Linked DNA regions of Ovis aries. The protein of the gene in region 1 interacts with the protein of each later gene in a pairwise test. Links are inferred from orthologs where the notes say so. Each region holds a gene or a part of one and is shown on either strand. Other genes may lie near its edges. The genes, in order: PADI4 and ANXA4.

Region 1 (4,275 bases):
CCCCTCATACCAGTCGCAATGGTTATAATCAAGAAGTCTACAAACAATAAATGCTGGAGAGGGTGTGGAGCAAAGGAAAGTCTCCTACACTGTTGATGGGAATACAAATTGGTTCAGCCACTATGGAGAATATTGTGGAGGTTCCTTAAAATAAAACTGAAAATAGAGCTGCCAGAAAACCACAATTTGAAAAGATATGTGTACCCTAACGATTGTTGCAGCAGTATTTACAATAGCAAGGACGCGGAAGCAAGAGAAATGGCCGCGGAGAGAGCAGTAAAGAGGATATGGTGTATATACATATATGTATGTATACACAACGGAATATTACTCAGCCGTAACAAAGGATGAAATAATGCCATTTGCAGTGACATGGGTTGACCTAGAGATTGTCATTATGAGCAAAGTCAGACAGAGAAAGACAAATATATGGTATCACTTATATGCAGAATCTTAAAAAATGGTACAAACGAATGTTCTTCCAAGACAGAGATGGGGTCACGGATGTAGGAAACAAACATGGTTACCGAGGGAGGACGGAGGGAAGACTGGACTGGGAGACTGGGCTTGGCGCATACGTATGACCGGGTGTGAACCAGGGGACTATTAATAATGAGGACCCGCATGTAGCAGAACCCACTGTGTGTACAGGGAGCTCGACTTAGCACTCTGTAACGACCGTCCGAAGAGGACTGGCGGCGCGTATCTGCATAACCGGCTCACCTCGCGGCTCAGCAGGGCCCAGACGCCACTGCAGACTCATAGGCTCCAGTAGAGGCTCTGCTGCTCCAGATCCCCGAGCAGGCCTCCTCTGGGTGTTGGCTCTGGGGCCCGTCCCGCCACCCCTCACCTGGACGGGCAGGCGGCAAATGTTGGCCCAGGGCAGGGTGCCTTTGGCTCACACCCTGGCTCTGCCGCTTTCTAGCCGTGAAATCTGTCCGTGACTCGGTTTCTTCCTCTGGAAAATGGGGATGATAATGGCGCTGACCCCAGAGAGCCTCTGTGAGGGTGAAATGAGGGAATCACAGCAGAACCCACCTCACAAGCTCGCCTTAGGGAGTTTTCCACGCGAAGGCCAGAGAAAGAAGCCCCGCACACCCAGGAGAAACCCCAGGAGACAGCCGTCGCAGGGGTGGCCCAGCCTGGGGTGACTTGTCCCAAACCTGGTCAGGCTTTTCTTGTTTAGTCCCTTTTATTCTGTTGTGTATTTTTAATCAGAGTATGATGGCTTTACAAAGTTGTGTTAGTGGCTGTGGTACAGCGAAGAGCATCGGCCACACACCCCCCTCCCTCTGGAGCCTCCTCCTGCTTGCCCCCCACCCCCGAGCCTCTTCGTGCTCGCCCCTGGCCCCACACCCAGGCCCTCGCAGAGCGCCGAGCCGAGCCCCCTGCGGGGTGCAGCGGCTCCCACTCGCCGTCCGCTCCACACACGGCCGCGTGTACGTCAGTCTTACTCTCTCAGCTCGCCCCCACGCCCCTTCCTCCGCTGTGTCCACATGTCGGTCCTCCAGGTCCACGGCTCTATTCCCGCCCTGCAAACAGGCTCCTCAGTCCCATTTTCCCAGATTCCGTACACGTGCGTTCATACACGCTGTTGTCTTCCCTGGCTCCTCTTTGAAGGTGTCGCCCGGCCTGTGGCCTCAGCCTCGCCTTCTCCTCTCTGATACCCTGTCTGGATGGACCCAGGTGTCCGTGGCTCCAGGAGGGGATGGAGACCCAGGGGGCATGAGACCTCAGACCCGCAGCCCCGCTCACAGGCTTCCGAAACCCTCAGCTCTTGCCAGGACGCTGACCGAACCAGCCTGCCACCAGTCCTGGCATCAGCGCCAAACTGGGTCCCCGGCCTGGGGGTAGCTCCAGGACAGAGGAGGGGCCGGGGAGACACCGCCAGCCCCGGAGGAGGAAGGGCTGAGCCACAAACCGCAGGCGCTGACTCACGGCCTCCGCTGGGCGCTGGGCAGATAAAAGCAGCAGCCCCGGGGCCTCCTGCAGCCGCAGGGACGCACAGGCCAGCGATGGCCTGGGGCACGGTGGTCCACGTGGCCCCGGGGCAGCCCACCCAGGCCGTGTGTGTGCTGGGCACCGAGACGCAGCTGGATGTCTACAGGTGAGCAGGGGACGTTCTGGGGCCACGGGCAGCTCTGGGGCTGTGGGTGAACGCCTTCTGCTGCCCCACGAGGGGTTTGGCTCAAGCGGCGGCCACTGCCGGGGAGAAGCCGGAGGGCCGAGATCCAAGTGGCCCCAGGACTCCCCTGGACTCAAGGCAGCGGCTCATCGCCACAGACGAGAGGGGCTTCCCCAGGGCCTCACCGCACAGGAAACCTGGTAGGGCAAGCAGGACCACATCCTCTCACGCTTGAGGCCGTGAAGCGCAGAGAGGTCCTGTGACTCGCCCAAGGTCGCACAGTGCGTGGATCCTGGGAACGAGTCTGGCCTCCGGATCTCACAGCCCCGGCCCACCTCCCCTTGCGCTGGGCTGCCCTGCGCTGCTCAGCCAAGCCTCCCTCCGTGGGTGTGCAATAGCGCGGGCGTGATGAGACAGGTTCTGGCATGGAGCGGCGGAGGCGGAGGCCTGGCCCTGCTATTGGTTAGCTGAGATGCCCTGGGCAGCTGAGCCTCAGTTTCTTCATCTGTGCAATGGGGATCATACCCGCTTTGTAGGGTGCTTGCGGGGATGAAGTGTGGAAACCTCGAGAATGCCTGTTGTGCACTTACCACAGTGCTGGGCCTGCCCCGGTGGCGGTTCTTCTGTCCATTCATTCCTTCGACAAATGCTAACTGAACCCCTGTTGCAGCCAAGCCCCGTGCTAGGCTCTAGCTAAACAGGGAGGTCTAAGCTGCTCGTGGTGGGCACAGCGCCAGCCTCCAGCTTCCGCCGCCACAGGTGAGCAGCTGTGCTTCTGGAAGAGCGCCCAGAGGACAGCTTGGCACACTTCCTTGAGGGTCGCTTGCCTCCTGAAGCGGGGCAGCAAACCGCAGGAAGTGTCTGGGGCCTCCTGGGGACACGGAGGCTGGCAGGAGGCCGAGAGGGTGAGGACTGAGGGGGGAGGAGGCCCACCGTTATCCGGGCCACCCTGCGCCAGGGCAGTCTGTCCATCGAGCCCAGGGTTCCAGCCCCGCCGGCTCACACGGTCACGGTGACACTCACGTCACGCTTGGCACACACAGCTCAGCCAGCCCCCGTGAGGAAGGCAGCGCTGTCCCCATTTCACAGAAGAGGAAGCTTGTTTTTACCAGTTACCTTTCCGTTGTCCATTTCTCTCTGTACTTGCCTTTTTGAAGGAAATTTTCCTGTTCTCTTAAAAAATTGTTGCATTTTCTCCATGTATGGAAATTTATGGACTTTATTTCTATTCTTCTGGTGAATACCTTTACATTTTAATAATAAAATGTTGAAAGTAAAAGTTGCTCAGTCGTGTCCGACCCTTGGCCGCCCTGTGGCCTGTACCCCACCAGGCTCCTCTGTCCACGGGGTTCTCCAGGCAAGAGTACTGGAGTGGGTTGCCATGCCCTCCTCCAGGAGATCTTCCCAACTCTGGGATGACACCTGGGTCTCCCACTTTGCAAGCAGAGTCTTTACCATCTGAGCCACCAGGGATTGAACACTACCTTAATCCTCTCTTCAATCAAGCGCCTGGGAACATTTTAACTGTCATTACCCCTCCCAATTTACATTCTGCCTTTTTTTTCTTAATGTCGCAATTTTGATATTTTTATAAACTTTTAAAACACAGACAAGACTCTTCGGATTAACCAAAGTATTTACCGTTTTATCTGCTCACCATTCTTCCTTACATCCAGATGCTTCTGACATTGGATATCTTCTTCTTAAGGCAAACTTCTTAAAGTGTATCTTTAGGAGTTGCTTTGGTGAAAATGCATTGGTTTCAAATTAAAATGCCAGTTCTTCTTCATCTGAAAATGTTTTTATTAAAATATAACTTTACGTACACAAATAAAAGTTAACGGTTATTTTTTCAAGATACTTTGAAGATGTTATTTAACTGTCTTCTGGATTTCATTACTGTTGTTGAGAAGTCTACTTTCAATCTAATTATGAAGCAGGGCAAAGACTAATAGAATTTTGCCAAGAAAATGCACTGGTCATACCAAACACCCTCTTCCAACAACACAAGAGAAGACTCTACACATGGACATCACCAGATGGTCAACACCGAAATCAGACTGATTATATTCTATGCAGCCAAAGATGGAGAAGCTCTATACAGTCAGCAAAAATAAGACCAGGAGCTGACTGTGGCTCAGATCATCACC
Region 2 (3,810 bases), on another chromosome or scaffold:
ATAAAATGAAGAGAAAAGCAGGCTGGCATTATTAAGTAAACATCAGAGACATAGCAAGGTGGGGGCTGGAGATGCTTTCCAGGCTTCTGCTTTGGTTGTTGCAAAAACAGAAACAACAGTAATAGAAAAAGATGAGGGAGGAAGAAGAGCTGGTTTGGAGGCAAAATGAGTTCAAGCATAGTTTAGGAGGGCTGAGTGGACAGAGGTGATGGCAGAATATCCACAAGGAAACAGGGAAAAGGCAGTGAGAAATGAGAGTCTCACACTCTGGAAGGAGGTCAGGCCTAAAGATAAAATTGTGAAGTTGTGTGACATGCTTGTAAATCCATCTCTCTTTTCTGGCATCCCTGCCCCCACACTGGCCCAGACCTGCTTTCTTCACAGTATCTAGAATACCAAGGTAACCCCTGCCTGGGCTCCCCTCCTCTGGTTCAATTCATTGGAACACCGCTATAATACTACTCTTCTAAGAAGTTCCAATCACATCACGACTGCTTCAAAACCTTCAGAGGCTCCCCACAGCTCTCCGAAAAAAAAGCACAAACTCTCCCCAACATGGGACCCCTGTTCATTTTCCCACCTGACTCCTAGAATTACTAGTCCAGCGGCTCAGCCAACTGTTCCCTGAACCCAATCTGTGTTTCCTGACTCCTTGTCTTGTCCTCACTGTTCTTTCTGCCTGGAATGTACCCCCACACACCTGTGCCTCTTGAAATTCCAGCAACCCTACTAGTCCTCTCTCAGCCAGCACCTCTGCCATGAAGCCTTTTCTTTGTTTCTGCAACCAAAATCTCTCCTTGAACCTTTCTTCTGCTCTGTGCCTCTTTTTTGGCACATACTTTCATGCTTTTATTATAGCAACACATGGGCCTGCTAGATCCCCTTCTGACAATATAAATTCTTAAAGCCCAGGACTGCCTTTAACCACATTCCTAACTTTCAGTGCACTGAGAAATGATTGTTTGGCGTATATTAGGTACTTGTATGCATAAATGAGAAAAAATGGGGATGCATGACTAGCTAGAGTCTCTAAAGACAGAATATAAAATAACAGAGAGGCTTCAGAAAAACACAGGGAAAAATTCCCATTTGGGAGGTTGAAAGGTTGAGAAAGGCTAGAAGAGCCGGTAGAGAGTGAACGTCTCAATAAACCATCCCCCCTGCCCCCATCAAAGGTGGGAGCGACTCACAGCGGACAGAGACACCAGCACGCGCTGGAACATGAATGATGTGTCAGAGCGAATATCGTCTTCAAGGCTCCGCCCATATTCTAGCAAGAGAGTCAAATTAGTGACATCAGAGTGAAGATCTCTGCCCAACACCAGGTCACACCCCAGAGTTTTCCGTCCTCTCCTGGACCAGCCTGATTACTGAAGCAACTCATCGTGAGGTTCTTCAGCCCATACACAGCTGATGAAAAACTAAAGTCTTGGTAAAATGGTCAAGAGAAGTTGATGATTAGAGCAGAGACAAGATGCTCTTGTTGCTTACATTGTGGGTTGAGAACGCGGGGCTGTGATCCCCTCTTTGGTGGTTCCTACTATCTAGGGATCTGTCCTGAATGTGGTTTGCAGTGACACAGAGCTGGTTAAGCAGCATGAGGAAAGGCAAATAGGATGGAGCTTCTGAACCTGTGTTTGGGGACAAGCAGCGGACTGTCCACAGGGAGAAGACCACAGGCAGTCAGCGCTAGAACCAGACTCCCAGGTTTCCACTCTCCCACTCTGAACACCTACCAAAAAACTCTTACTATTTTGTTTTCTTTCTACTGAACTGTACATTTATTACAGAAAACTTAGGAAAAACTGAATGAGTTAAATGAAGTGGCGGGGGCGGGGCGCGGGGAGGCGTTGAACAAAACCTCATCTAATCACCCAGAAATAATCACTGATAACATTTTGGTGAATATCCTTCCTCATTTTCCCCACATCACATATTATTTTTGTTTCTTTAAGAAATGGGATCACAGCATCTCATTTTATGATTTGTCTTTTCCCCTTATTCGTATACCATACCACTCATTGTAATTTAATAACATCCTCCGATATACATTTTGATGATTATGTTGTATGGATAGCCACTCTGCTGGACATCTTTGTTTAGCCACTCTGCTGGACATTTTAAGCTAATATAGATGACACTGTGGGATCTGAACCTTTGGACATTTTTTATTATATTCCTTAGGTCAAGAAGGAGATTTTTAAGAGGGGAGTCTTGCCACTGGGGGTGGCTGCGGGACCTACAGCCTAGTCTGAAGGTAAGAAATTGAGGAGACTGCTCCTCCAGGCCACTCCCTGGAAAGCTATGATTCAGTGGTGCCACCACATTTGAATAAACATCTTTGATTCTCTGCTTGATACTAAAGAACAGCTTTTCAGCTTTCAGGGTAGTAAACACTTCACTGGGTAGCCTAAGAAGAGAGGCAGGTACCCCTGAGAAGTCTCGAAAAGCCAACAGTCATTTGGATCGACAGGGATCTGCCTGACAGCTGAGCTTGTAGCTGAGGCTCCCTCGAGGTCAGTGTTTCAGTGGGTAACCTCCCGCTCCAGTCTACTTCTCAGAGGACAGGGCCGCCACCAAGGCCCCTGAGGATGCTACATACGCAGCTGGTAGGTCTGGTTTATGCGCCGGATCTCCTCGGGCGTCCGGGAGGCCAGGATCTCAATCAAGCAGCCCTCATCTGTGCCAGCTCCCTAAATGTAAAAGCCAGAGGAGAGGGTGTCATGAGTCAGGTCACCAAGTTGAGTCCCAGACACAGGAGGGATACAACCAGAAATCTGCAGAGAATAAAGACAACTCAGCTAGTTCCAGCAACAGGATTTGCTCATTTTTAACTTTCCTATCCAGATTCCAACATGTTTATTAGTCATAACAAACATTTCATGGGCTGCTTTTGGGTGTTGGTTAGGAATAGTTTCCACCCTCTGGGGATTTTGTCTTGCCTTGGTCTCCCCTGTACTTTTCCTTTGAAGGGCAGAATCTTCTGGCAAAGGCTGTTATCTCTGTTTCCCAGTGACTAGCCCAGAACCTCCCATGAACCTGAATATTCATTGACGTGAGGGAGGAGGGGAGTCATAATTGAATTTTGTACTTGGTTGCTAAAAATCGGCAGAGCCTGGTGTAGGGCACAGTGGCTCTAGCATCTTGGGAGGCTGAGAACTCTTGGCAGGTTCTGAGCTTACAGCAGCCCAAGAGGCCCTCACGGGGTCAGTCAAAAGTTCCATATCTCAAAACAGGAGCTAATATGGCAAGAAATTGTCTGGAGTTACACAAGCCCCACTCCAGTACTCTTGCCTGGAAAATCCCATGGACGGAGGAGCCTGGAAGGCTGCAGTCCATGGGGTCGCTAAGAGTCAGACACGACTGAGCGACTTCTCTTTCACTTTTCACTTTCATGCACTGGAGAAGGAAATGGCAACCCACTCCAGTGTTCTGGCCTGGAGAATCCCAGGGACGGGGGAGCCTGGTGGGCTGCCATCTATGGGGTCGCACAGAGTCGGACACGACTGAAGCGACTTAGCAGCAGTAGCAGCAACACAGCAAGCACGAGTATAATCACTCCCCAGTGGGCCACGGAGAAGAAAGAATTTCTTAACTTTTGGGGAAACAGCTTTGAAGTTACAGTCGCTAGATTGTAAGGTCCTGTTTTCAAGTTGTCTTAAGGAAAATCCTTCCCCCACACCCTCCTCCTCTACACTCTCAGGCCTCTATCATGGCTTCTTGAGAACGCCCCGTGGGTCCACCTTTGCACCCCCAGCCCCAAGAGCAGGAAGAGAGGAGCACGAACCTTCATGGCCTTTCGCAGCTCCT

What was found.
Region 2: the proteins of PADI4 (region 1) and ANXA4 interact in binary tests that used the Homo sapiens proteins (3 or more experiments, as listed by UniProt). The two-hybrid records come from large-scale screens. The link is inferred for Ovis aries from reciprocal best matches to the Homo sapiens genes PADI4 and ANXA4.

The regions. Positions count from the first base shown.
Region 1 is NC_056055.1:248,954,200-248,958,474, reverse strand, and holds the start of PADI4 (protein-arginine deiminase type-4), read left to right. Parts: upstream 1-1,368; 5' UTR 1,369-1,676; coding exon 1,677-2,107; intron 2,108-4,275. UniProt on the Homo sapiens protein: Catalyzes the citrullination/deimination of arginine residues of proteins such as histones, thereby playing a key role in histone code and regulation of stem cell maintenance.
Region 2 is NC_056056.1:38,569,501-38,573,310, forward strand, and holds part of ANXA4 (annexin A4), read right to left. Parts: coding exon 3,788-3,810; intron 2,694-3,787; coding exon 2,603-2,693; intron 1,271-2,602; coding exon 1,191-1,270; intron 1-1,190. UniProt on the Homo sapiens protein: Calcium/phospholipid-binding protein which promotes membrane fusion and is involved in exocytosis.